3 linked regions of the Lepisosteus oculatus genome follow. The protein of the gene in region 3 interacts with the protein of the main gene of each other region in a pairwise test. Links are inferred from orthologs where the notes say so. Each region holds a gene or a part of one and is shown on either strand. Other genes may lie near its edges.

Evidence for each region. The genes of interacting proteins can lie anywhere in the genome.
Region 1: the proteins of nab2 (region 3) and zmynd19 interact in binary tests that used the Homo sapiens proteins (3 or more experiments, as listed by UniProt). The two-hybrid records come from large-scale screens. The link is inferred for Lepisosteus oculatus from reciprocal best matches to the Homo sapiens genes NAB2 and ZMYND19.
Region 2: the proteins of nab2 (region 3) and transcription elongation factor A N-terminal and central domain-containing protein interact in binary tests that used the Homo sapiens proteins (3 or more experiments, as listed by UniProt). The two-hybrid records come from large-scale screens. The link is inferred for Lepisosteus oculatus from reciprocal best matches to the Homo sapiens genes NAB2 and TCEANC.

What each region holds. Positions count from the first base shown.
Region 1 is NC_090719.1:406,590-414,632, reverse strand, and holds the start of zmynd19 (zinc finger MYND domain-containing protein 19), read right to left. Parts: upstream 3,002-8,043; 5' UTR 2,787-3,001; coding exon 2,736-2,786; intron 1,547-2,735; coding exon 1,487-1,546; intron 1,397-1,486; coding exon 1,290-1,396; intron 832-1,289; coding exon 691-831; intron 444-690; coding exon 263-443; intron 76-262; coding exon 1-75. Other genes in the region: bspry (B box and SPRY domain-containing protein), read left to right, coding at 4,622-4,927, 6,046-6,144, 6,500-6,730, 6,818-6,843, 6,931-7,064, 7,655-8,043. UniProt on the Homo sapiens protein: May be involved as a regulatory molecule in GPR24/MCH-R1 signaling.
Region 2 is NC_090708.1:21,959,052-21,966,902, reverse strand, and holds the start of transcription elongation factor A N-terminal and central domain-containing protein, read right to left. Parts: upstream 3,002-7,851; coding exon 1,796-3,001; 3' UTR 1-1,795.
Region 3 is NC_090696.1:15,543,326-15,550,569, forward strand, and holds the start of nab2 (NGFI-A-binding protein 2), read left to right. Parts: upstream 1-4,198; 5' UTR 4,199-4,408; coding exon 4,409-4,411; intron 4,412-5,579; coding exon 5,580-5,744; intron 5,745-6,114; exon of another isoform or gene 6,115-7,178; coding exon of another isoform or gene 7,179-7,244. UniProt on the Homo sapiens protein: Acts as a transcriptional repressor for zinc finger transcription factors EGR1 and EGR2. Isoform 2 lacks repression ability.

The DNA.
Region 1 (8,043 bases), on a different chromosome or scaffold from region 3:
CCAGTCCCTCTGCTGGCACTGTGAGCCGCAGTACCGCGCCACCTGGCACCGCCCACAGATATTGAACTCTCGGAGCTGGAGGGACAGAGGAGGGAGATAAAGCCTTAAGAGACAAGAGCCTTCAAGGTGTGGCTGGTGAAGGTCACTCCTTCCCTGAACGGAGGCATTTACAATACACCTTCCTGTTCTTAAACAGCTCTGGTGTTTGTGTTCGCTCACCAGCGAAGAGGCACGACGCGTCATCAGACAGTACAACACTCACCCTCCTCTCGATGAGCGAGCAGGGTGGGTAGTGACACTCATAGTAGGTGCAGGAGCACTCCTCCTCCTCCACCAGCTCGCCGTTGGCGTTGTAGTAGCGCGTGCGGCTCAGCTCCAGGTACTGCTCCTCCACAGGGTCTGCCGGCACCTGCTGGATGGCCAGCCAGTACAGGGACTGCTCCCTGGGCAGAGACACACAGACCTAGTCAGACACCTGTGCCGGGACTCCAGAGACGCAGACAAACCCCCGAGACGGGGAGACACATGCCTGAAGAGACACTCAGACACTTTTACTGACCTACAAACCCCCAGCCCTGAAGCCAGACTGCTGATTGTGCGGCCAGCATCAGGACTGACCAGCTGGACAGAAGCCCAGAGCCATGGCCACAGACGCCGAGCACCATAAACAGATCGGGCAGCGTTTCGTACCTCTGCTTGCTGGACAGCTCCTCGGGTTTGGGGGTCCAGCCCAAGGGGACAAGACGCAGGTTGTCCAGCCGGTTGTCCACGGTCACGGAGTTGATGTGGACGACCTGGAAACATGGAGCGATGCCCCCGCGGTGCTTCTCCCTGTGAGCAGACGGAGGACAAACTGAGACGGGCCCTCAGATGACAGCGGACAAGACTGAGGACGCCAGCAGACAGGCCAGCGCGTGGACACCTGGCATGAACCTGCACACTTGCAGAAGACAGACGCACACATCACAGCAAAACCTCGCTCAGCGCTGCTTCCTGTAGCTTTCTGTGTCCTGACCAATATCTTACTTCCTCCACTTCACTCCTGTGCAACAGCAGAATGCCTGCAACGCACACGCGGACCAGGAGAAGCGCCTCGAGCTCTTCAGGAGGCACCCTGCCACTGGTCGGGCTCAAGGCCAGAAGCAACGAGAAGGCGCAGAGAGCGCGGCCTCATCCGCCACAGGTCTTCTTCCGCAGCTGCACAGTAAGTGTCGGAGACGGACGTGCGAGCCGCTCGGACACAAGGGCGCCCCCAGACCCCGCGCAGGCCGAGGGGCGGCTGTCCTCACCAGAGCAGCTCGTGCAGCGGCCTGCCCGCCCAGCGCCCCTTGTTGATGTCGAAGGCGTAGGCGAAGATCTTCGCCCCGTTCCCGTCGGCGTCCACCTCCATCCGCGCCTGCGCGAGAGGAGGGAGAGGAGGAGGTCAGACGGGGCTCTCGGACACGCCCCCCCCACTGCCCGCATGGGCACAGCGCCCCGCTCTCACCTCGAAGGCATAGTTCTCCACCAGGGGGATGTCCTGCTCGTCAATCAGAGTGTACTTCGTCTGTGGAGGGGAGAGACCGAGAACACACCATCAGCAATCGGGACCGGCCCTCGTCGAGACCTCAGCTGGGCTTCCGCTCATCCCAGTGCACCATGCTGGAGGACAGTCTGCAGCCTGACGGCACCAGCATGCCCTCTGGACACCCGACACCCCCCATGGCCGGGGGGAATGTCCCAAATACCTACCTCCCTGCACCACACCGCAAGCACAGGGGCTCCGCTGCCCATCCTCAGAGCTGCCCGAGAGGCCCAGAGATGGACCACGGCTCAGCTGGGGCACAGTCAGCTCCCCGTCTCTCTCAGTCACCCCAAATAAACCATCTGCTGAACCACACACGTTCTTACCATCACGAGACAACAGGGATGCCGCCCCTACTGGTTGCCAGTAGATAGTTACTTCGAGGATCCTGAAAGCCCTGAACTGAAAGCAGCTTCACCAGCAAGGCTAGGAAGCCTGTTCAACACTCCTACCACCCTTTGTGTACAGAAGGACCCCCCTGCTCTATGTCGCCAGCTGACTTCCCTGGAGTCTCCACTCGGGCCTTTACAGGACACGTCTGCACAGGGTGCGGGAGGTCCCTGCCAGGGAGCACCAACAAGCCGGGGTTAAACGCACCTGCATGCGCCAGAGAAGCAGGGCTGAGCTGCCTGTCCCGCTCCGGCCCGCACCTACACCGGCGCAGAAACACCGAGTGGAGCGCCAAGCCGCCAGCCGGCGGGCAGCAGGCCGCTGGCCGCATGTGCCCGGTCTCGCCTCCCTCTCCCGTCCCCCGCCGGCGGCCCTCTAGCGACCGGCGCCCCGCCTCGCACGCCACACCGCGTCCAGCCCTGCAGCGGCGAGGCGGCCGGGCTGCGGGCACGCCCGGGGGCCGAGAGGGAGAGGGGAGAGAGGGGCGAGAGGATTTCAGACGCGTTTGTCTCGCTGGAGTCGCGGCGTTTAAAGCCCAGCCGGACTCGCAGGGCCCGCAACATGCCGGCTTGTGTCACGTTGCCGAGAGGTTCCTGGTGTGCGCCAGCGACCACTATAGTCCCGGTACCTCGCCACGTTAGGAGAACGCGGCGTTTCAGGGAAAACCGGCACAAATACCCCCCCTCTCTGCCGCCACGGCTGCCCTACGCCGCTCTCCGGGGCTGTTGCAAACTGCGACGGCCGGCCGGCCGCCCCCACCTCTCTGACACACATGGCTCACCTTCCCGGCCACACGGCCCAGCCGCACGATCCCCAGCTTGAAATCCGACATGGGGCAGGAGGAGGCGCGCCCGCTCCGGGCTCCCAGACAGCGAGGCGGAAGCTGGCAGAGGTGATGCTCGCAGAGGTGCAGCTCGTCAGGGCGCCCCGCCACCCCGGTCCAGTCCGGATCCCGGGCAAAGCCTGCTGGACTCGCCGCCGCTCAGCTCGCTGGCTCCAGCAGCGGAGACGGAAAGGCAGGCGGGAGGAGGGGTGCGGGGGGGAGGGGCCGCCAGGGTAGAGAGCGCCTCGGCTCCGGCCAATCAGAGCAGGAAGGAAGGAGCGCCTGGCCAATCAGAGCCCGCGCACGGCCAGGTTGTCTTTTTTTTACCCATTTGTCATTCCTAGGCACTGACGAACCCCTTGTGACGTCAGGCTGTTCGATCGAAGTGACCAATCGGAGGGCGGGATTTCCTAGGCCTATCTCCCCCCCCCCGCATCCCTTCCCCCTGACGTAATCGCGTTCCGTTACCAGGCTGCTTTGACGTTGATTTCGCGCGAAACTACACAGCGTGGCCCAGGCGGAAGGAGCTGGGCGGTCACGCATCCACGTGATCCAGCACGCCCGAGAGCTCGAAGCAGAAACCAGTTCGGTATCGCATGGGCTGTTGCAATAAACACGTGACAGGAGAATATGTGAATGGGCTTGTAATAAATGTCAATCACATCCTGCTGTTAGAGTGGTCTTTGTGATCCAGGGGACGTTTATTAAAGGACATTTAAGGCACTGGCAAGGCAGGAGTAAGAGGTCTAGCGCCCCCCGGCGGCGTGTGTCGTGCACGGCAGCACGATTTCTCTCGTGTCTCAGGCTTTCACCCAGAGAGACGCCCGACTCTGATGGGTGAGACGTTAAGACTGAGGTGTCTGGCAGGTCACGAGTAAGCACGCGGTGAACCTCTCTGTACCCGATCGTTCAAGTGATCGAGATTCATTTATTCGATTCATTGCATCGGCATCAAGAGCTACAACACAGACAACAGTTTCCGAAGTGAAAGTGCAGTAGACCCGACGGCCGTCACGGGAAAGGAGATGGACAGCGCGGACTGCCCGCACCAGAGCCTCACAGCGAAGTGAAAACTCGCACAAGGAGTCCAGAACGTGACCCAGATTACACCGGGTCCGAGTGAAGCGTCTTCTGGTGGCGAGCGGGAGAATTACAGGCGGTTGCACCGTGAGAGAGCTTACTGTTCGCCCAAGGGGTTGAGTCTGCGTGGATGTGGGAAATCCACGCGTGTAAATGTCTTGCCGAGACAGGCAGAAAGTACGACTCCCGGTGCAGTGCACCGAAAGGGGGGAAAGTCCAGGGAGAGAGAATTGATGATTTACCAGGACTGCTCTCACGCAGCGCCGGGCGCCCCGCTGGGTGTGTGGAGAGGAATGCACAGTGTGCGCGACTGCTCTGCCCCTGAGCGCCGTGTCTTCAGCCCTTCAGCCTGCCTGGGCTGTGGCTCAGACCTACCTTCCTCCGGGATCATTGCGACATGGAAGGTTGTGTTTCCTGTTTCACAAAGCGCAGTGCAAGTGCGGTACTGGCTGGAAGGAGCTCCATGTGGCTTAAAACGCGCAGTGCCGTTGAACGGCTTCAGAGGGAGTCAGGGCGAGAGGAAAGACGAGCGAGCACTGGCGAGCATCGGGTCTGAGGTCTGGAGACCCCCCTCCTCCTCTTCTCCACTGGCTCCCAGTGCCGCGCTGACCTTTACCTGCACTTCCGTGTCGGTGCTTCCTCTCACCTGTCACAGGTAACTGCTCGCTCTCTCTCCGGCACACACCTGTCGCGCTCCTGTGGCGGAGCCGGGCGGGTTTCCGCAGATATCAGACAGAAACAAGGGGGCACCCGGCTGGGGCGCAATGAGCACCGCAGAGGCGAGGGGCGGCCCGCTGACGGCCGTGTCCCCGTTGGACAGCGGCACCCCGGCGGGGGACAGCGCCCACAGACACCCGGGGCCCAGCACGCCGACAGCTGGCGCTCCGTCCGCCGCCACCCGCCTGAACGGGGCCAACGGCGTCAAGATCGGAGCCGCCGAAACCGGCACCAGGAGCCCAGACCGGGCGGGGGAGCCGGCGCTCAAGGGGGCAGGAGCGAGGGAAGGCGAGCCGGGCCGGCGGGGTGCAGAGCAGGGGCCGGAGCTGGCCCAGAGAGCTGGTGCGGTCCGGGTGAGTTCCGGAGGGCGCTGCTGCCAGGCAGCCAGAAACAGCGGGTTACAAACTCGGGACAATAGCAGCTACAGTAGCTCTCTCAGCAGTGACGGGCATGGCCATGTCTTTGTGACACCGCCCTGCTGCAGGAAGGCTGTGAGTAAACAGAGTCGACCTGTCGGTCAGAACAGAGCCCCTGCGCTGCCCCAGCCTGTCCTGCGGGGCCGGTTGCCGGGGCTGTGAGGGAGACTCCCCGTGTCGCGATGAGAGTCACCTGACGGCGCAGCGTGACGGGGAAGCGCCGTGAAACAGTGCCGAGAGTGGGGGAGGACTGCGGGCGGGCACTATCTGCGCCTCGGTGCGTTATTGGCAGGACAGTGCTGCCAATGCAGATACAATTAACACAACATTTACAGACGCGGATATTATTGGACAATAATCACGTAAAACACCACTGTGAGACAGACTCACTGTCTGTTGCTCCAGCTGGAACAGGAGATCACACACTGGGCTGATGAGTTTACTCCCAGTAGGACTGGAGGCTCTTCTGATACTGGCAGGAATTCTGGTGTTAGAGTTGCTTTTAATTATAGGAATATTTATTATAAGAATAATTACCTCTCAGTTACGCTCCTGGTCTCAAAGTGTCCCTCAGTGTCTCAGGGTCTCTCAGTGTGTCTCAGTGTCCTCAGTGTGTCTCAGTGTCCTCAGTGTCCCTCAGTGTCTCAGGGTCTCTCAGTGTTTCAGGGTCTCTCAGTGTGTCTCAGTGTCCTCAGTGTGTCTCAGTGTTTCAGGGTCTCACAGTGTATCTCAGTGTCCTCAGTGTCCCTCAGTGTCTCAGGGTCTCTCAGTGTCCCTCAGTGTCCTCAGTGTGTCTCAGTGTTTCAGGGTCTCTCAGTGTCCCTCAGTGTCCTCAGTGTGTCTCAGTGTTTCAGGGTCTCTCAGTGTGTCTCAGTGTCCTCAGTGTGTCTCAGTGTTTCAGGGTCTCACAGTGTATCTCAGTGTCCTCAGTGTGTCTCAGTGTCCTCAGTGTCCCAGGGTCTCTCAGTGTCCCTCAGTGTCCTCAGTGTGTCTCAGTGTTTCAGTGTCCCTCAGTGTGTCTCAGGGTCTCAGTCTCCTGTCACCTCCTGTCTCAGAACCAGCTGGTGGACACGTGTGAGAAGCTGCAGCTGAAGGCCCTGCGGATCGAGCGCTTTGTGAACAATGTGCTGCCGCCCCATGAGCTGGACCTGCAGGTCAGCACCGGCCCACCTGGGTCAGAACCCAGGAGCAGACACATAGCAGTGCAGTCGTGTGCTCTGCCCTCCTGCTGGACCCTGACTACCGGACACTGACCTCCAGACCCTGACTATCAGACCCTGACTACCGGACCCTGACCTCCAGACCCTGACTGCTGGACCCTGACCACCAGACCCTGACCACCGGACCCTGACTATCAGACCCTGACTACCGGACACTGACCTCCAGACCCTGACTGCTGGACCCTGACCTCCAGACACTGACCTACAGACCCTGACCGGCGGACCCACACCTCCGGACCCTGACCGCCGCTCCCTGACCCCGTGTCGTGTGTGTGTGTGTGTGTCCCAGGGCGGGGCCAGCCGCGCGCGGGACGCGGTGCTGCGGCGGCTGGCGGCCGTGCGCGAGGCCTGTGACGAGGAGGAGCAGCGCCTCCTGGAGGCGGTGCAGCGCGAGGAGGAGCGGGTGCAGCACAGCCTGCTCACCCAGCGGGCGCACTGGGCGCAGGCCCTCGGCTCGCTGTCCGCCGTGCGGGCCCAGCTGGTGCGCCTGCTGACGGAGACCGAGGACCGGCAGCTGCTGGTGAGCCTGGGGGCCGGGTCAAAGGTCAGGGACAGGCGGGCTCGCGCTCATTCTCCCAATCCTCACCCGTTCTGCTCTCTTCAACAGGACTGCTCCCAGGAGATCTCGGACAGGTGAGCGGCTCTGGCCCCCAGGGCTAACGGCAGCTCCGAAAACACCCCAGGCCCGCCAGTCACCCCCGCTCCCTTCTTCTCTCGCAGGGTGGAGGTGGCAGAGGGGGTGGGGGAGCCCCAGGACTCCGAACACTTGACCTTTAACCCCAGGAGCAGCCAGAGCTCGTTGCTTTTGAACCTGTGGGCGAATGCCGTGCTGCTGTGTCGCTCTGGTCAGTGCGGTGAGTTGTCTGTGTGCACAATCGGCAGAGGTGTGAGTGGGGCCAGTGGGGGGCGCTCACCCTGCGGTCTGTGTGGGTCCTAATGCCCCAGTTTAGTGACGGGGACACTGTACTGTAGAAAAGGATGTCAAACCAAGGTCCTGACTCTCTGTGATCATTAACAATCCCAGGGTGTTTCTCGAATACAGTAAGGGTGTTAATCTCAGTGTCCTGGCCACAGATTTCCCCCCTGACCTTCACCGATCATGGCCTCCTAATAACCCCCCTCTCTGAACTGGCTCCATCACTCTGCTCTCCTCCCCACTGAGAGCTGGTGTGTGGGGAACGGACTGAATGGAGTGTCCGGAAAAGCACTAGATAAGTGTAAGGAATTATTATTATTTAAAAGTGTATCCCTGTGTAGCATTCTGATCCTGTCCGGATTTTCCCAGTTGCAGGCTCTTGTACAATCCATGCAGGAGACTTCAGATGTGTTTTCAGTGTTACTGTGTGCTGGTCTGTGCAAATACCAGTCTGACCAGTAGCAGCTGCTGGAAAAGCCTGGAGTGCAGAAGGAGTCAGCTCCTGTCCCCCCCCTCTCTCCTCCGCAGACCCTGAGCCCCTGAGCTTTGACGAGCGGACGGTCAGCCCCCTGCTGTCCCTCTCGGACGACGGCCGAACCCTGACTTTCCTGCCCAGGCGCGCGCGCCAGCCCCAGCAGTACAGCCCGCTGCGCTTCGACCGCTGGCCCAACGCGCTGTGCGGCCGCAGCTTCTCCTCGGGGACGCACCGCTGGCTGCTGGAGGTGGGGCGCAGCGCCGCCTTCAAGGTGGGGGTGAGCTACGGCAGCCTGGAGCGCAAGGGCCCGGGGAACGGGGCCCGGCTGGGCTACAACGCCCACTCCTGGGTCCTGTCCCACTTCGACGGCGAGTTCTGCTTCCTGCACGCGGGCCGCGCGGAGCCGCTGCCCCTGCTGCGCCGGCCGCGCCGCCTGTGCGTG
Region 2 (7,851 bases), on a different chromosome or scaffold from region 3:
TAACTTAACATTGTTACCTATAATTGAATATTAAATATAATTCCACAAAAGTGACCTAACTGAAGACTGAACTGCAAACATAGCTCATTAAAGAACTATATATTTTTGAAAATATCACTGAGCAAGAAAATGCAAAGAAAAGGTAAAAACAAAACCTGAGAATGAAAAATCCAGGTCGTAGAATGCTATAGAAACGTCAGAGACCTTTCTTTTTCGAGAACAGTTAAGGGATTAATTTATAGTTTAACAAGTGCACACAACAAAATATTATGCTAAAGTGCAAAAACAAAACTCAATATTATGCTAAAGTACAAAAAAGTTGCCATTAGTGGTTTTAAAAGAGATTTTTCTAGCTCACACTTTGTAATTGTGTAACCTTAGTGAATTCTCAAAGTATTTTATTATTTATTCCAAAGCAAGAAGAGAGTTAAAATGTAATATTGTCAGGCCAACTAATTAGTTTTGGAGCATACCCCAAATTTCTAAGTAGCATTGTTATGATTTCAAAACAGAAAGATAATCTATAAACATTGGAAAACTCATGTAGCACCACTTTTTATGACCAATTATGATGGGTTATGGAAATTTCCTGATGAAAAGTTCTCACAATCTAAAAAAGAAACCCTGGAATGAATTAACAGGGTGTACTTTAAACACAAATTGTTTCAAAAATGCATTATACAGTATATACTGTAATTAGATGTCTACTGAAATTGGCACAATGAATTTAATAGAACAGGTAAAGGTTTGTTCCATACTGAAAGGAACAGATACAACATTTTGACGGAGTAGCTTTCTTCAGGTGTGACATTAATAGAAGGAATACAGTTAGAAATTTAAAACCAAAGCATACACACATAAAATGACTTATTAGGTATTACTGGGCATAGATGATTTTAAATCATATATCTCACGTTGATAAAGCTTGACAAGAATATAGTATTAATCTGCTTTGAAATACAAATGAATAGCATTCAGCCATTACTTAAATTATAACTCTGACAGGCTAAGGAGTTGTACCATGCAGTAGGGTTCCTGAAGTTTCTACGACATGAAAAAAGTCACATGCAGAGCATTTTTGAACAAAGTCACATGTATGAGTAAAGACCATATGATCTAAGTGCAGTTAAATTGATTACTCTGCACACTTTTTCTATTATCTATATTTATAGTAATGCAGCTCTGGATCAAGATTTAGTCTGTTAAATTATCAACTGTTTAGGCACTTTCAGCTTCTTCGAGGTTCTGTTTTATGTAATGTGCTTATCTTGAAAAGACAAGTTTCCTAAAATATGATTAAAATACAGTCCATGGCATATCTTATAGCTGTACTTGCTGACACATACTGTGTTCTGCAAATGAGAGTGACAAAGGATGGCCTTTTTTATTCATCTATAATAAAAATGAACAGAAACTGCTGAGATATTATCTTCAATCACTGCATAGCTATTTTAATTTAATAAGTGTTCTTCCAGTTCACTTCAACAAATTCTGAAAATTTCATTCAATCTCTGGCCAAAATACAGAGTCAAAAATACCAAACACAAAAAATAACATAAAAACGAGACACACAGTAGCTTATCACAAAAAATCCACACACAAAAATGTAACTGCACAAACCAGTACAAATGTGAGGCACTTTGGGGGAAAAAAAAGAACAACATTTTCACAATGACTTAAAGATCCTCATCATCACAACTGTCTTATAGTGCCACGGAGAGAGCCGAGCTGTACCAGAAATGCAAACCTTCAACCCATGATTAACATGTACTGTTCGAACCGGTTGCACCAGTTACTATAAACAAATCCATCCACTGTTATACCATTTCTCACCACATTTGTTACAGATGACAAAAGTCATCATCTGCTCATCTGGGGTTCCGTTGCGTACCCAACTAGGAAGGAAGAGGGTACCCCTGGAAATGAGTGTCACAGTGCAGTCAAACCTCTCACATCGCCGGCACTTTATTTTATCTGTCTGGGTCCCGCCCACGCCTTGGGGAAGCTGGTGTTCATTAATGGCAGATTCTATGTACGCTGACCTCATCTGCTTTAGCTCATCACTTGCCAGTTCCATCACGGACATCTCAGAAAACACCTTAGGGCTCAGCTGTCCACCCAGCAGGTTTTGACGCCAGTGAGGGGTCTTAGGGTTCCTTAAGTTAGAAACTTTACTTCTAATGAAAGACTTGTACTTTCTTTCGTTTTTCCCATGGAGGATAAAAACGTGCTCCTCAATCGCACAGGCAACTTCCTGACAGTTCCCTGCGGACTCTGTGTGCTCAGCTCCCTCAGGAATAAGGGCTTGAAAGAGCAGCTGTATACATTTGGACCTAAGAGGTATCTTGCTAGGCTGTACCTTTTCCAGAGTCACCCCTGAAGTATCATGTCCAGCGTTCTCCACTGTGCCAGGCTGGGATCTAACTGCTGGGGTGTTTCCGTTGTTTTCCAATCTAGAAAGATCACTTTTGTTTTCATTTTTGCTTATTGCTGAACCAAACTCATCTTCTTTCAGTACCTCCCCTCTGCTGGCCACACAGTGGAATAAATTATGTTGTGTTGCCTCATTAGTCTCTTTAGCTTTGTCTTTCTCACTGATAAAGCTCTCGTTTCCTTCCAACTGACCGCACTGTGAACAGTGAGTCTCATTTATTTCTGACTGGCAACAGGATGGGTTTTTCTCTGTGTGTGGCCCTCGAGTACTGTTTTTCTCATCAGGGCCTTTTCCTGCAAGGTGATAGGATGCTTTGCACCAAGGATTGGTAAACAGCTTCTTCCATTTTGACAGTAAAACCTTCGCTTTTTTCTTCACCAAAGTCCCTTGGCAGGTTTTACAGACCCGATAAACAACTTTTGCAATATCTGTTTGCTGAAGTTGTTCTAATGTAATGTGAGCCATTTCTAATTCCTCTAATAAGAGCATAATATCTTGATGGTTCTGTTCATGGAGACGTTTTTCAATTTGACGGGTATGACAAATGATTCCCTGTGTGTCCATCATCAGGCCAATCTATGGAAGCATATCACAAAATCTGTAATCAGCAGCAGTAAGTATGATATTTATTCCTATTTTATATATACCCAAAATCTCAGAATTAACAAAATCAACACTTTCAAATATGGAATAATTTAGTTTAAACATGCAGTAAACTAGCAATTTCAGTGTTTAAAAATTAATCCACCCTTGATCTGGACCCAAATACAGTTGTGGAGAAGCGTTTAACCCCTTTGAAAAACATGGGGTGCATGTTTGGGTTTCTTTTGGTTTCTGTTTTATATACTGTTGTACAGCAATTTGAGGTTGTTGTGCATAAATACATTTTGATTTTTTTTTCGTTAGATGAACATAAATATAATTTTTCATGCATTTTGTTGTAGTAACATCATAATTCTTGCTTTGTATTTTATATCGAAAACTGTAGTTACAACACGGTAGGTAAATCCCCTACATGCAGATCTTAAATTCACACTAGCGTGCTGCATACTGTACAGTATGTACGTTTAAATTAATAAAATCTGTCCTACTGAAGAATGACAGCGGGCGTCTCATTTCAGAGTTAAAGAGTGCTACAACTGAAAATAGTAGTTTCTAACTTCAAACCGAAATGTCAGTGAGTTCTTGCTAAATCACATGCCCAAAACGCAGAGCTAATATTTTCAATATTGTTAATACAACAAAGTAAAGTACTTCTACCTACAGAACCTGATGTCAACACGCAGGCACTCAGTAAGAATCTAACTGCCCTTTACGAAGCTCCTTGAAGTTTTCAAGTGTAAAAATCATTTTTACAGCCAATCCTGTTGTGTTCATATACCCATATAGGTGTGTCATATACAAGAAATATGAAATCATACTGGGAAATTGCAGTTAAAAATCCTCGCCGTTAAGATGCACAGACGTTTCTTTCACTCCCACCGGTCGACCGCCATGTTTGTTTATAATTTTTTACAAGGCTTTTGCTGCTGAAACAAGTATCGCACGCCAGGGGGCGCACATCGACCAGGTAAGTGGTGTTTGTCTTCACAAGGTTCCACAGCTGCCATTCTCTTTCACAAATTACAATTCAAACCACCGCCATCACCAGCAACAATAATACATTGAAGTATTTATAATAGAATAAATAGAGAGAGACGCATTCAGCATTCTAAGAAACAGCAAAATGCTAAATGCTTGGGTTCTTTATTTTAGTTTATTTTAATTTTACAGTAACTGTGGGAAACGATTAAGTCATTATTCACTAAAAGCTTGAGTCGAAACCTCAAGCTTTTAGGACTGCTGAATGCGATACAGTTATTAGGGCTGTGTAATTGATTTGCAGGATGGAAAAACAGCATAACGTATTTATACGTATAGCATATGATGCTATGGTTTCTGGTTTCGATAGTGCTGGGTCGGCGGGGTATCTAAAATTACACACATTTGGTTTCTGTTCAACTGTTATATAATCATATATAGATAGCACTGTGAAAAATGTTTACAGTCTATTTAGCTCTTTATGTATATTGTTCAAAGGTTATAATGACAATACACAATACATACTAACCATACATGTACCTCATGTCAACGTACCTAGAGTATGTATAATAACTCTAGTAACTAGTAAGTAGTAAGTGGTGACAATTTATAATAATTTTCATTGTGAAAAAATGTTTTCAATGTTCAACAATAAAAGCTGTTCACCTCCAGGACATTTACAAGTGGAGGCCATTCGTCCCATCCATCTTATCTAGGATTCAGTGGCTAATTGACCAGAGGATGTCATCCATCCATTTTGTGAAAGAACCCAGGGTATTAAACAGGATATTGGCTTCGACAACACAGCCGGAGTTTCAGGCATCCACAGCACTATAAAAAAGTGCTTTCCATTTTCAGTTTTAAATGCACATCCCCGTACTGAAGTGTCTCCACAGTGCACTATTTAAATAAACTTAAATAGGTTCCCACACTGTCGGAGACTGGCAATTTAGTGGGACATGAGAATCATTTTCCCCCCTTAAGATTGTCTGCAGGCTGTCAGTAATAAGCGACAACAGAGACAACAACAGTAAAGGTCAGCTAGCATCATTTTGATTTTTAAAAACTAGAAGCAACAGCATGCGTAGGGTATATATATGCACTGCACATTTGGCTAGGCTGAGTTCAGAAACCAATAATTTCACAACAAATGTGTGGGCTCCTTGGAAAGCAAACCATTCACTGATGTTCACTGATGTTTGCTGCACAGCCTGACTCACCATGCCAAAGTAGTACAAGTCTTATGACTCCACCTTCGCAACTTTTTCTTGTTCTCCAGTATACACAATAAACTAATGGCCTCCCAAAGGTTCTGATCCATTACAAATGTGTGTAATAAATGCCCTTGGAGTTTAAGACAGCCCATGAAGATTGAAAATAAGATTATTTTATAATAATATGTATGTGTCTGGAAAAACTCAATTAAAGGCAGTGTGAAGGCGGCATATAATTAAATTAATATTTTAATTATATGATTAATGGGAAACCAAAGCTACAGATCTTTCAACTTTGGCGAGTATTCGGTCCCAGCCCCTGCAACAGAGATAATACATTTCATGTTTTAAAAATGTGCTTTTTTCTCCTTTAATCCTGCCAGTGACAGCTGTAATTGATACCTAGGAATGTCTTTAATGCTTTTTTTGTTTTATCTGAAAAAGCAACAGGCAGCACAGTGGCACAGTGCTTAGAATTGTGTCCTCACAGAACTGGGCCCCTGGGTTCCATTCCTGGGGTGCTATATGCATGGAAGGTTTATGTTTTCAATGTGTTTCCACCTGGCTCCCCGGTTTCTTCCCAGAGTCCAAAAACATACTGGTATGTCAACTGGCTTGTGGGAAAAATATGCCCTGTTGTGAATGTATGTGTTTGTGTCTGTGTGTGGAGAAGTGGTTAGAAATGGATGGATGCAAGAGCATCAGAAAAAACATTATCACAAAAGAATTGAACAGTGAAAGTATGTCCAGCTCTTTATTAGGTTCTGTTACTGGGCTTACTATGTTTCTTGATTTTCAGAACACCTTTGAGTAAGATATTTCCAGCAGATTGCACTAATGATACTGTAATTCAGGTTTTTAAATAATTTTTTAAGTCTTAGCAGCAGCTTCCCAAACGTAATTAGGTTCTGTTAAAGGAGATGTAGGAAAAACTCTACTACTCTACTCTACTTAAATTGCCAAACCCATGGCCTAAAAGGAATTTCAGTTGAACTTTCTCTTTCATTTTCTTATTAATTATAATATGTTATGAACATTGTGTTTTTAATTAGCTTCAACTTTAAAAGATTTAGGGTTCTTACATTCAAAACCAAGTATGGAACTAAATTCCTCTATATTTACATTATGTCATGTGTTTCAAGTCCCATTAGTCATCCTCCTATGATGTCATGGAAAGCATATACAGTAGTATCTATTCCCTCTGATCCAATAAACCTGCCGCTGTTACAACTTGCTGTTTTGAGGTCTACAAACAACTACAAAGAATACTTGTAAGACGGTAAGATGAGAAGAAAAAAAAGAGTAAATTAGCATTGTAGTCCAAGTGGTAAATCATCTTGAGTTTTGCTCGAGACCGTTACCACTCAACAGCCTATTTCCCTCAGCTCAGCACAACCACGATCACAGGGTCTCTTCCTTCCTGTCTGGCCAAGAACAATGCAGGCTTTTCCACAGAGCTGCCCAGGAGTCGCTGCTCAGTGAACAATAATGGATCACCTTTCCAGACTGTATGATACTTGCCTGAATTTATGGATATCAAGTGTGAAAGCTTACTTAACTTCATTAATCTAAATTAGTTTTGCAGGTCAGCTTAAAAAGAAGCATGTACAGTAGGTGCTTATTTTGCAGTGACAATATGATCATTACAGAAAAGAAAAGCATACCAACAGATGCAGGTGAAACTGAAAATTGTATGCCTGTTTCTCCTGATGACTATCAAACATCACCAGTAATAAAGTAATAAAAATATGATTCAAAGTAATCATTACATACCTACAGTGTATGTCAATATGCAGACAATAGTTTTTGCACTCTTATAAATAAGGACTGTAAGTGTTATAAGGCTCAATATTCCACGATGGTTTCAGAAAAAGAAATTTCAGTGCTACTGGTTACTAGGGTAAAGTAAGCCCTAAAATCATATTTAATGGGAAATGAAATACAGAATTAAATGGCCAATACATCTGCACAGTGTGATTGAAAACATAGCAAAAATGGTAAAAGGGCAGCCATTATAACCATCAGACCTAAGCCTGAGTTACAGTTTCCAGGAATTATGAAAACTTGAATGTGCTTTAGATTTGTTTGGATTGAAGAAAGGTACAAGAGTCTTACGGAAAGTATCTCCCCTCCAAAAAATATATGATACAACAATATACTGTACGCCAACGGAGAACACACACTCACTGCTCCCTGAGAGTACCTTTATACCTCGCCTTTTAAATAGCTGCTGAATGTTTAAGCTTTTGAGTAAACTTTTTACAGATGCTTAAGGAAAGTTCTAAAGTGAATATCACCTTCAAATATTAAAAAGTATAATTAGAAATGCAATTGTAAAGTCAATTTTTTCAGTGCTTCAGATTATAGTAGGAAGATTTAATCCTTTGCCTCTGACATATGGGATAATATTCACCATGCCTGGCATCTGCTACAGTCATTACTTTGATTTTTCCAAGAAACTTGAGTTTTCTGAGGGGATTTATTGTGGCCCCAGCACTGTAAGGAACAATAAATTCTAACAGATTGATTAGGATCGCTTCCGAGCTTGTTTCTTAGCATCGACGTCTGTTTCACACAGGCCAGTCTCTCCTAAAAGCAAGGTGGTTATTCTGGTTTTGAAAA
Region 3 (7,244 bases):
CCGTGAGCGCGCACAAACGTGCACACGCCCCTCCCCGCCACCGCCACCGGCCGAGGCCGCTCTCCTGCCCTGGGCCCCCGTGCGCGCCGCCGCTCGCACAGGGGCGCGCGGCCTGCTCCGTATGCAGAAGATCAATGATATTTCAAAAAGGCGAACGCAAAAGGGCTTTGATTAGCTCATTTCCTTCTGGCGTTTTCATAAAGCGGAGCTACGGGCTCTGTTTGCTCTTTTTTTTGTGCGTTTCTTGATTTTTTTTTCTCTCCTTCTCATTTATTTTCCGAGTCCCTGCCGCCGCATACAGTACAGGGCTCCATTCCTCTTTGTCTCTCTCCCTCCCACACGCCCGGACGTGCGGTTTCTATTTCTGCCCATTCCGGATGCCGGGCTAATGGGTTCCTTGAGGAATAGTTGCAGTCTGTGGGTGGGCGAGATCAACTGGAGCTCATGCTTGTATACCGGGAGATGGTGGGGGGGGGGGGAGCGGCTCGATACGGGGGCGGGAGGATGTGCGTCAGCTACCCAGAGAGCGAGAGAGACCGAGAGAGAGAGAGGGCGTGAACGGCGGAGGGGAAAATGGATTAGTGGGAGCAGGAAAGGACGAGAGAGAAAGAGAGGGAAGGAGCTGTTACCTCCTAGAGCCCCTGCCAGCCTGGTCAAGGCCCAGTGGTGTGTAAATAATCCTGGGAAAAACAGGGAGACGGATCCCCTTAGCACGACAACTCCATGTCTAGCCCCACCAACCTACGCCATTGCTGCTCTTTGTTGTAACCAACTCCTCCGATACAATATTGACTCCTCTGATTATCAGTTACGCAGCAGGTTGTGGCAGAACTGTGCACTGGAGCAGCCTGGAAGGGCTACAGAAGGTGTAGCTCTGGCCTACAGGAAGACGAGACCCAAGCAATCAAATTGCACTGGGGCCTTGTGACCATCCTCAGTACTGCAGACCTGAACCAATGTTGTATGACAGGCTAAGGCTGCCTGGATCTGCTGTGCTACCACCGCAGGAGCCACAGAGCACAACTGGCAACCAGTAGCTCACACTGGCCAAGTCACCACAGCATATTCCTGCATTGCAGCGCTGTCAGTCTAACGGACCGCACACATGCAAGGTTACAATCAAGAGGTCGTTCGGCTCAGCTGGCCCGTTTGGTAGTTAGTAGCTAATTGGTCCAGGGATCTCCCTGGTGGTCTAGTGGTTAGGATTTGGTGCTCTCCTTGCTGCGGACTGGGTTCGATTCCCGGTCACAGAAGCGTGTCTTTTAAGCCAGCAGCCATATCACCCTGCAGCTCACAACTGGCAGACCACTGAAGGTCAGCAGGTGTGAGCCTGGCCAGTACCTGATTAGGGGACATCTAGGGAAAAGCTAAGGTTGCTGCTGGAAGAGCTATTAGAGGGGCCAGTAGGGGGCGCTCATCCCGAGGTCTGTGTGGGTCCTAATGCTCCAGTATAGTGACGGGGATGCTATACTGTGAAAAGGTACTGTCCTTTGGATGAGACGTAAAACCGAGGTCCTGACTCTCTTTGGTCATTAAAATCCCAGAGCGTTTCTCGAAAAGAGTAGGGGTGTTACCCCAGTGTCCTGGCCAAATTTCCCATTGGCCTTTACCAATCATGGCCTCCTTAAATCCCCATCTCTGAACTGACGTCATCACTCTGTTCTCCTCCTCACTGATAGCTGATGTGTGGTGAGGGTACAGGTTCACTATTATTATACAGGTTCATTATTATTATTCACCAACCATTCCTTGAAAGAAGCCAGGGTCTCATCAACTTGGTTGAGCAGCCTGTACCACACTCCCACCACCCTTTGTGTAAAGGGTCTTAAATGTACCCCAGTGTAGGTGCACTTTTGTTTCCACCGCCTGAAAAAGGATAAAACCGAACAGCCTGGCAAGGCTCGTGGGGAGTTTTTTCCCCTTTTTACTGCTTGTCATTTCCTGGTATTTGCCTTGGGCTTGCTTCATCACTATCCCTTGCACTCAGCGTGACTTTGCTGGGCTGAGTTTCTCCCAGGCTCGGCGCCTTGCTGAGGCGGACTGGTGGTCGTCGCTCCCAGCAGGGAAAGGGGCCCTTGCTTTCGGGCTGCGCCAGTGGCCAGGCCGCCCCCTGCAACCAGAGGAAGGACGTGCAGGCATCTCCGGCTCCCCCACAGACGAGCCGATTGTGCCCCAGAGGACAATGAGTCTGCTGTCCCGGCAGAGGTGCTGAACAAGCCCTGCAGTGTGAGGCTGCCCCCACATGCCCCTGGGGCTGCCTGCGCATCCCAGCCAGAGGGGCCGGGAGCAGTCCAAACGAGCCTGAGTGGCCTCATTGTGTGATACGTATTGTCCCCCGAAATCTCTGCACTGGGACCTGCTCCTAGTCCGGGCTGCATTAAGGGGAAGCCGGAGCGAATTTCGTATTGCTCAGTACTCTGAAGCCCATTCGCAGAGGGGAACATCAGACCCTGAAAACTGCCCCCTTGTTCTTGCTCCTATAATACGACTGCTTGCTATCCGTTCCTACGGTGTCTCTCCAGAACGGATCCCTGCATGGCCCGATCAAGAAATCATGGTTAGGTCGCCTACTTTGCCCAGACATGTGAGGCTTGTCCCAGCTTCACTACCCCATCGCAGCCCGGCTGTGGAAGCAGTCTTCCTTCATCACAGTTTCAAACACGTAATCTGGCTTTTCAGCTGAAAAAGATGACAAATAGACATTGCAAGGAGGCAAGATACAAAAGACAGAAAAACATCCTCGGTCTTTACTGGATTCCTCCTAGTTACTCTTTTCAATCTTATGCACCAAGACAGCCCCTGCCTGTGCACCTCCTTGCACAAAGGCGCTCGTGCACGATCTTCTTAGGAACGGGGGTCTCAGACACAGCTCCCTGAGTGCCTAGTGTCTGCCTGGCATTCGCCGGAGTCATGAAACCGTTTGCCCGATTATTGTCTTTGTTGTACATGCGCAGGAGTTTTTGTCTTTGCCAGGTCTTTTATAGTTGATGACAACTCACTGCAAAACCCGGCTCAGCCTGTCTAGAAGGCAGTTAATTAACTAACGAGACCAGCTGGTAAGTCTGGGTGGGAAAAAAAAACAAACAGATACCAGTCCCCCTCCAGGGGGCTGTGTTCAAGACCTCGCCGTTAGAAAAGTCCAGTATTTCAGCAAATTCCACCCATTATAATTAAGACGATTGTATACCTGGCTCAGGAAATGGAGCCGATACAGGAATTATGGGATCTCCTGGGATTATGGGATCTCATCCCGAGTGGGACATTTGCCCATCACACAAGGAGACAACAACTGAGACAACAACTACCCCACCAGCATGTCTCCAGAATCTGAGAGGAAACTAGACACCTAAGAGAAAACTCACACAGACACAGCGGAACATGCAAACTTCACACAGACGGTTCCTCAGGTCGGAATCGAACCCGTTGCGCCGGCTTATATAATGAGATGTTGATATTTTGTAATGCTGGTGCTGCGAATTGACAGAAAAAAAAACATCTTAATTGTTTAATTGCTTTTAATAGGATCCACACAGTGACGCATAACGGCCTGTTGTGTAACGTCAGGGGATAAAAGAGAAGGTGGGCGATTTGCAGACGCCTTCGCTATTCACCCACTTGGACCTGCTGTCCTTCTCAAGCAACGTCATGGCGAAAACAGGAAACGAGACTGTGTTCGTTCTAGGGTGAGAAAGTCCCAAGCTAACGAAAGCCGGGTGTTCCACTGGTGCGATCACACAAGCAACCCAGCCGACCAACTACGTACACCGCGGCGGAGGTATGGGCACGCCAGACGCAGGCAGCCTGACAAGAAAACGCTGCTCTTGCATATCATACCGGCTGCAGTCGAGCGGAGAGTTTTCGAACGGTTTTATGTGAGCTGAGAATTACATCACTGGGGAATCCCCCCTTGTCAACTGCGTCACGCTTCGGATCCGTCGAACCCAGTCGGAAGTGGCCCACGCGCCTCCCCCGGACAGCCACACGCTGGCACGCTCACACACAGCCCGCTCCCGCAGAGCCGCGGTGCTGCTGATGGAGTTTTTCTGCTGTTCGTCATAAAACAAGACACACATCTATCATGTACCTTGTTTTACCAGTTTGCCAAGGTGTTTGTTGAATTATTCTAACCCAATAATAATAATAATAATAATAATAATAATAATAATAATAATACCGATGTTCACAAACGCACTCGAAACACTGTGGTTACGTAGTTCTTCACTCCTAAGCGCTATGGAGTGTGAAGTGGAGACAGCGAGACGTAGCTCTTCTGATGACAAGGAGCGAAGCTCTTTTAATACCCCGAATTTCACAGACTCCAGATGCACAACCCAAGTCATAAGAAGCAATAGATGTGTTTTACTCCCATAGATCTACAGGACTGGAGCCTTTTCGGCTGTGGGAACGGATGGTGGGTTATTATTATTATTATTATTATTATTATTATTATTATTATTATTATTGGTGATGGTGGTAATATTAATTGCATTGCTGATGTTTAATTAGCTTCTCTTGCTTTTAAGTTGCGTCATTTTTTCAGAACTTTTTTGTTCAATCAGAGGCTTGTTACTGTGTTACGGCTACTGCCGAAATGACCCGGGCGCCGTGCAGGCGGAGGGCGATGCGGACAGGGGCTGTCGCTGGGGCTCCGTGCAGAAGTCGCGGCAGTGCACTTGTGCGTGCACGACTGAGCCCGCCAGCGGCAACGCCGCTCTGTGGCGCTGGGGAGGTGTTGAAATCGACGGCAGCGGCGTGATGGGATTTGTCGACAGATCTCCGCGCCTTACTGCGTGATCCGCAGCAGTCTTTGAGCACTTGCACGGTTTGGAACGGCCTCGACACAGGGGGTGTGACTGGGTCGTTCAGGTCTCTTCAGGAGAAGAAACCCGCACTGTAGAGTTAGACGCACACACCAGACCGAAAGGAAGTTTGTAGGTGGCCGGGACCTCTCTCGCCGCAGTTGTGTTGTTGTTGGTTTTTTTTTTTAAAGAAAGGGTTAAAATGATAAAAGCTAGCATGTGAATCCCCCCACCACCCTATCCCCCCCAACTTCCACACCCCCACCCTGAAAGCCGCCTCTCTACCCGGGAGAGGAAAGCTCTTTTTCGGTCAGATGGCGCGCTGCAGTCCGCCCCCGGGTCTCTCTCACCCACACACCCTGCAAAACACTGTCTTTAACAATGCGGTCCGCCGAGAGAGGACAGTAGCCAGAGAAAACAGGCAGCCCGCAGGACAACAAAGTATCGGCAAGAGCAGAAATTAAGGGGGGAACAATAAATATTATCATAAGATAAGAAACAGGGAGAATAGGGGGGTACAAAAACCAGGCGGGCATGTTGGACCAAAGTTTCTAGAAGTTCTGCCTAAACGTTTCGATTCCTGTCTGCGCCGGGGCGGTTGAGGGGTGAACAGGGAGCAGACCAAAGCCGAGGCAGAAGACGGAGCACAACTCACCCATCGGGACTTAAGGGAGAGCAGGGGAGGGCAACGGGGGAAACTCTCCGTTTTCTCTCACTTATTTCCCCCTACACACGCTCCTCTCCCTGCGCGGTGTTTTTTTTTTGCCTTTTCCAATTCAGCGTCGGAACAGCGACGAGCGCGAAAGCGTGAGCGGGACAGCCGCGCTCCGCAGCGAGGCGAGCCGGGCAGCTGGCTGGGCGTTCCCGCCGGGAGCCGAGCCGAGGAGCGCGCCCGCGGGGCACCGTCTCTACGTGATCGCAGCCGACCGGGCGGATCCCAGAGAGGTAGGGCGATCGTCTTTGCTTACCCGGTGACCTCGGAAGGAGCGGGTGCCACAGCCGGCTGCCTTCGTGCAATTTTGGGGTGCGAGTGATCCCGTACGGCTGCGGGTGGCAACTTCTGAAACTGTAACTATTGTGAAACGTTCTGCGTCAGGGCTAGAGCAAGACACACCGGCGTAAACCCCTCTTCACAGATGCCGTTCAGCACTTACATGATCTTTCCCACCCCCAGCTTGTGCGCTTATTATTACGTTTGCAGCTGTCCGCCCGTTCGCAGATCCGCGGAATCGCGACGTTTGCGAGTCGCCGGTGTTTCAGCCGCTGTAGGCAACCATTCTGACTGCCTCCCTCCCCCCGCGAGCAGGTTGTGTTTCTGAACATACTATCCTGATCGTGTTTCCCAAGTCCTGTGCTTCGCCGCTCCTCCAGATAAGTCGCTTTTGTATTCAGACCCTTGTAAATCAAACTTTTGCTGACCGCTGTTTTCCGTCAACAGCTGCAGAAAACAGAATTCTGTACTTTCGGGGGATCTAGAAATCAGAAATTGCGAGCTGTGCTCCACGTCATACGGTACCTTTGGTATTTTTCTATCTAAACCCGCTGTCCCCCGAAGAGCGCGCACGCAGTACGCAACGATGTATTGTCGAGAGGACGAGGTTACTGTCGCAAGTAAGAAGCCCCATGGGCGCATCACAGCCAGGGGGCTCGGTGATTAGGAATATCCTGATAGCGGATCGGTTGGGTTGTTCTATTGCTCCGTGGCGAGGTACTGCCGGCCACCGTGGGCACGGCGCACCTTCTCCCGAGAAAGCGTCTCTTCTCCGAGCCAATAGACCGACGTCTCGCCAGACAGTGACCCCGATAAACCTTTATCTGCTAGAGGCGCCAAATGTCATCTCTTCTGCCTGTCTGGTCTTTCTGTGTCGGACGTGGCTGTGTCTTATCAGCATTCTTAAAAACGTGGGAAACGCAAGCATGCACTGTGTTAGATATCAGGATATCGAGGTGTTTTTGAAGAGTTGTCCCTCAACCGCTGCTGCCTTTGATATTCTCAGATTGCTCTGCTGGCGTGTTCAGTATTTAGTTTGCAGACAAGTGAGGTTCTATGCGTTTCGCTTTTCTGATTCTTTTTACTACTGTCTGCTACTGTGACAGCAGCTTAGGAAAACAAGCGGGCTGTGGCAGTGGAGTCGGCGAAGCACAAAGACGGCGTGGTTAATGGGATTTAGCTCCACGCACTTTACCCGATCTGTTTACTGGGATAAATACACGCCGCACCCCGAGTCAGTTCAGACCAGCTTCTAGCAAAATCCGAAATGGATCAAAGTGATGTGCAGTGGGAGTCTAGTGTTTCTCTGAGTAATAAACATAGTGGCAGCAACACCGCTAACAGCAATAGTGGTACTAATATGGACTTTCGGTTGTGATTGCTTCCACATGCACACGGTGCAGTCAGAACAAAGGCAGTGCCCGATCAGTGATGGTGCAGTTCTAGGTGGCTTG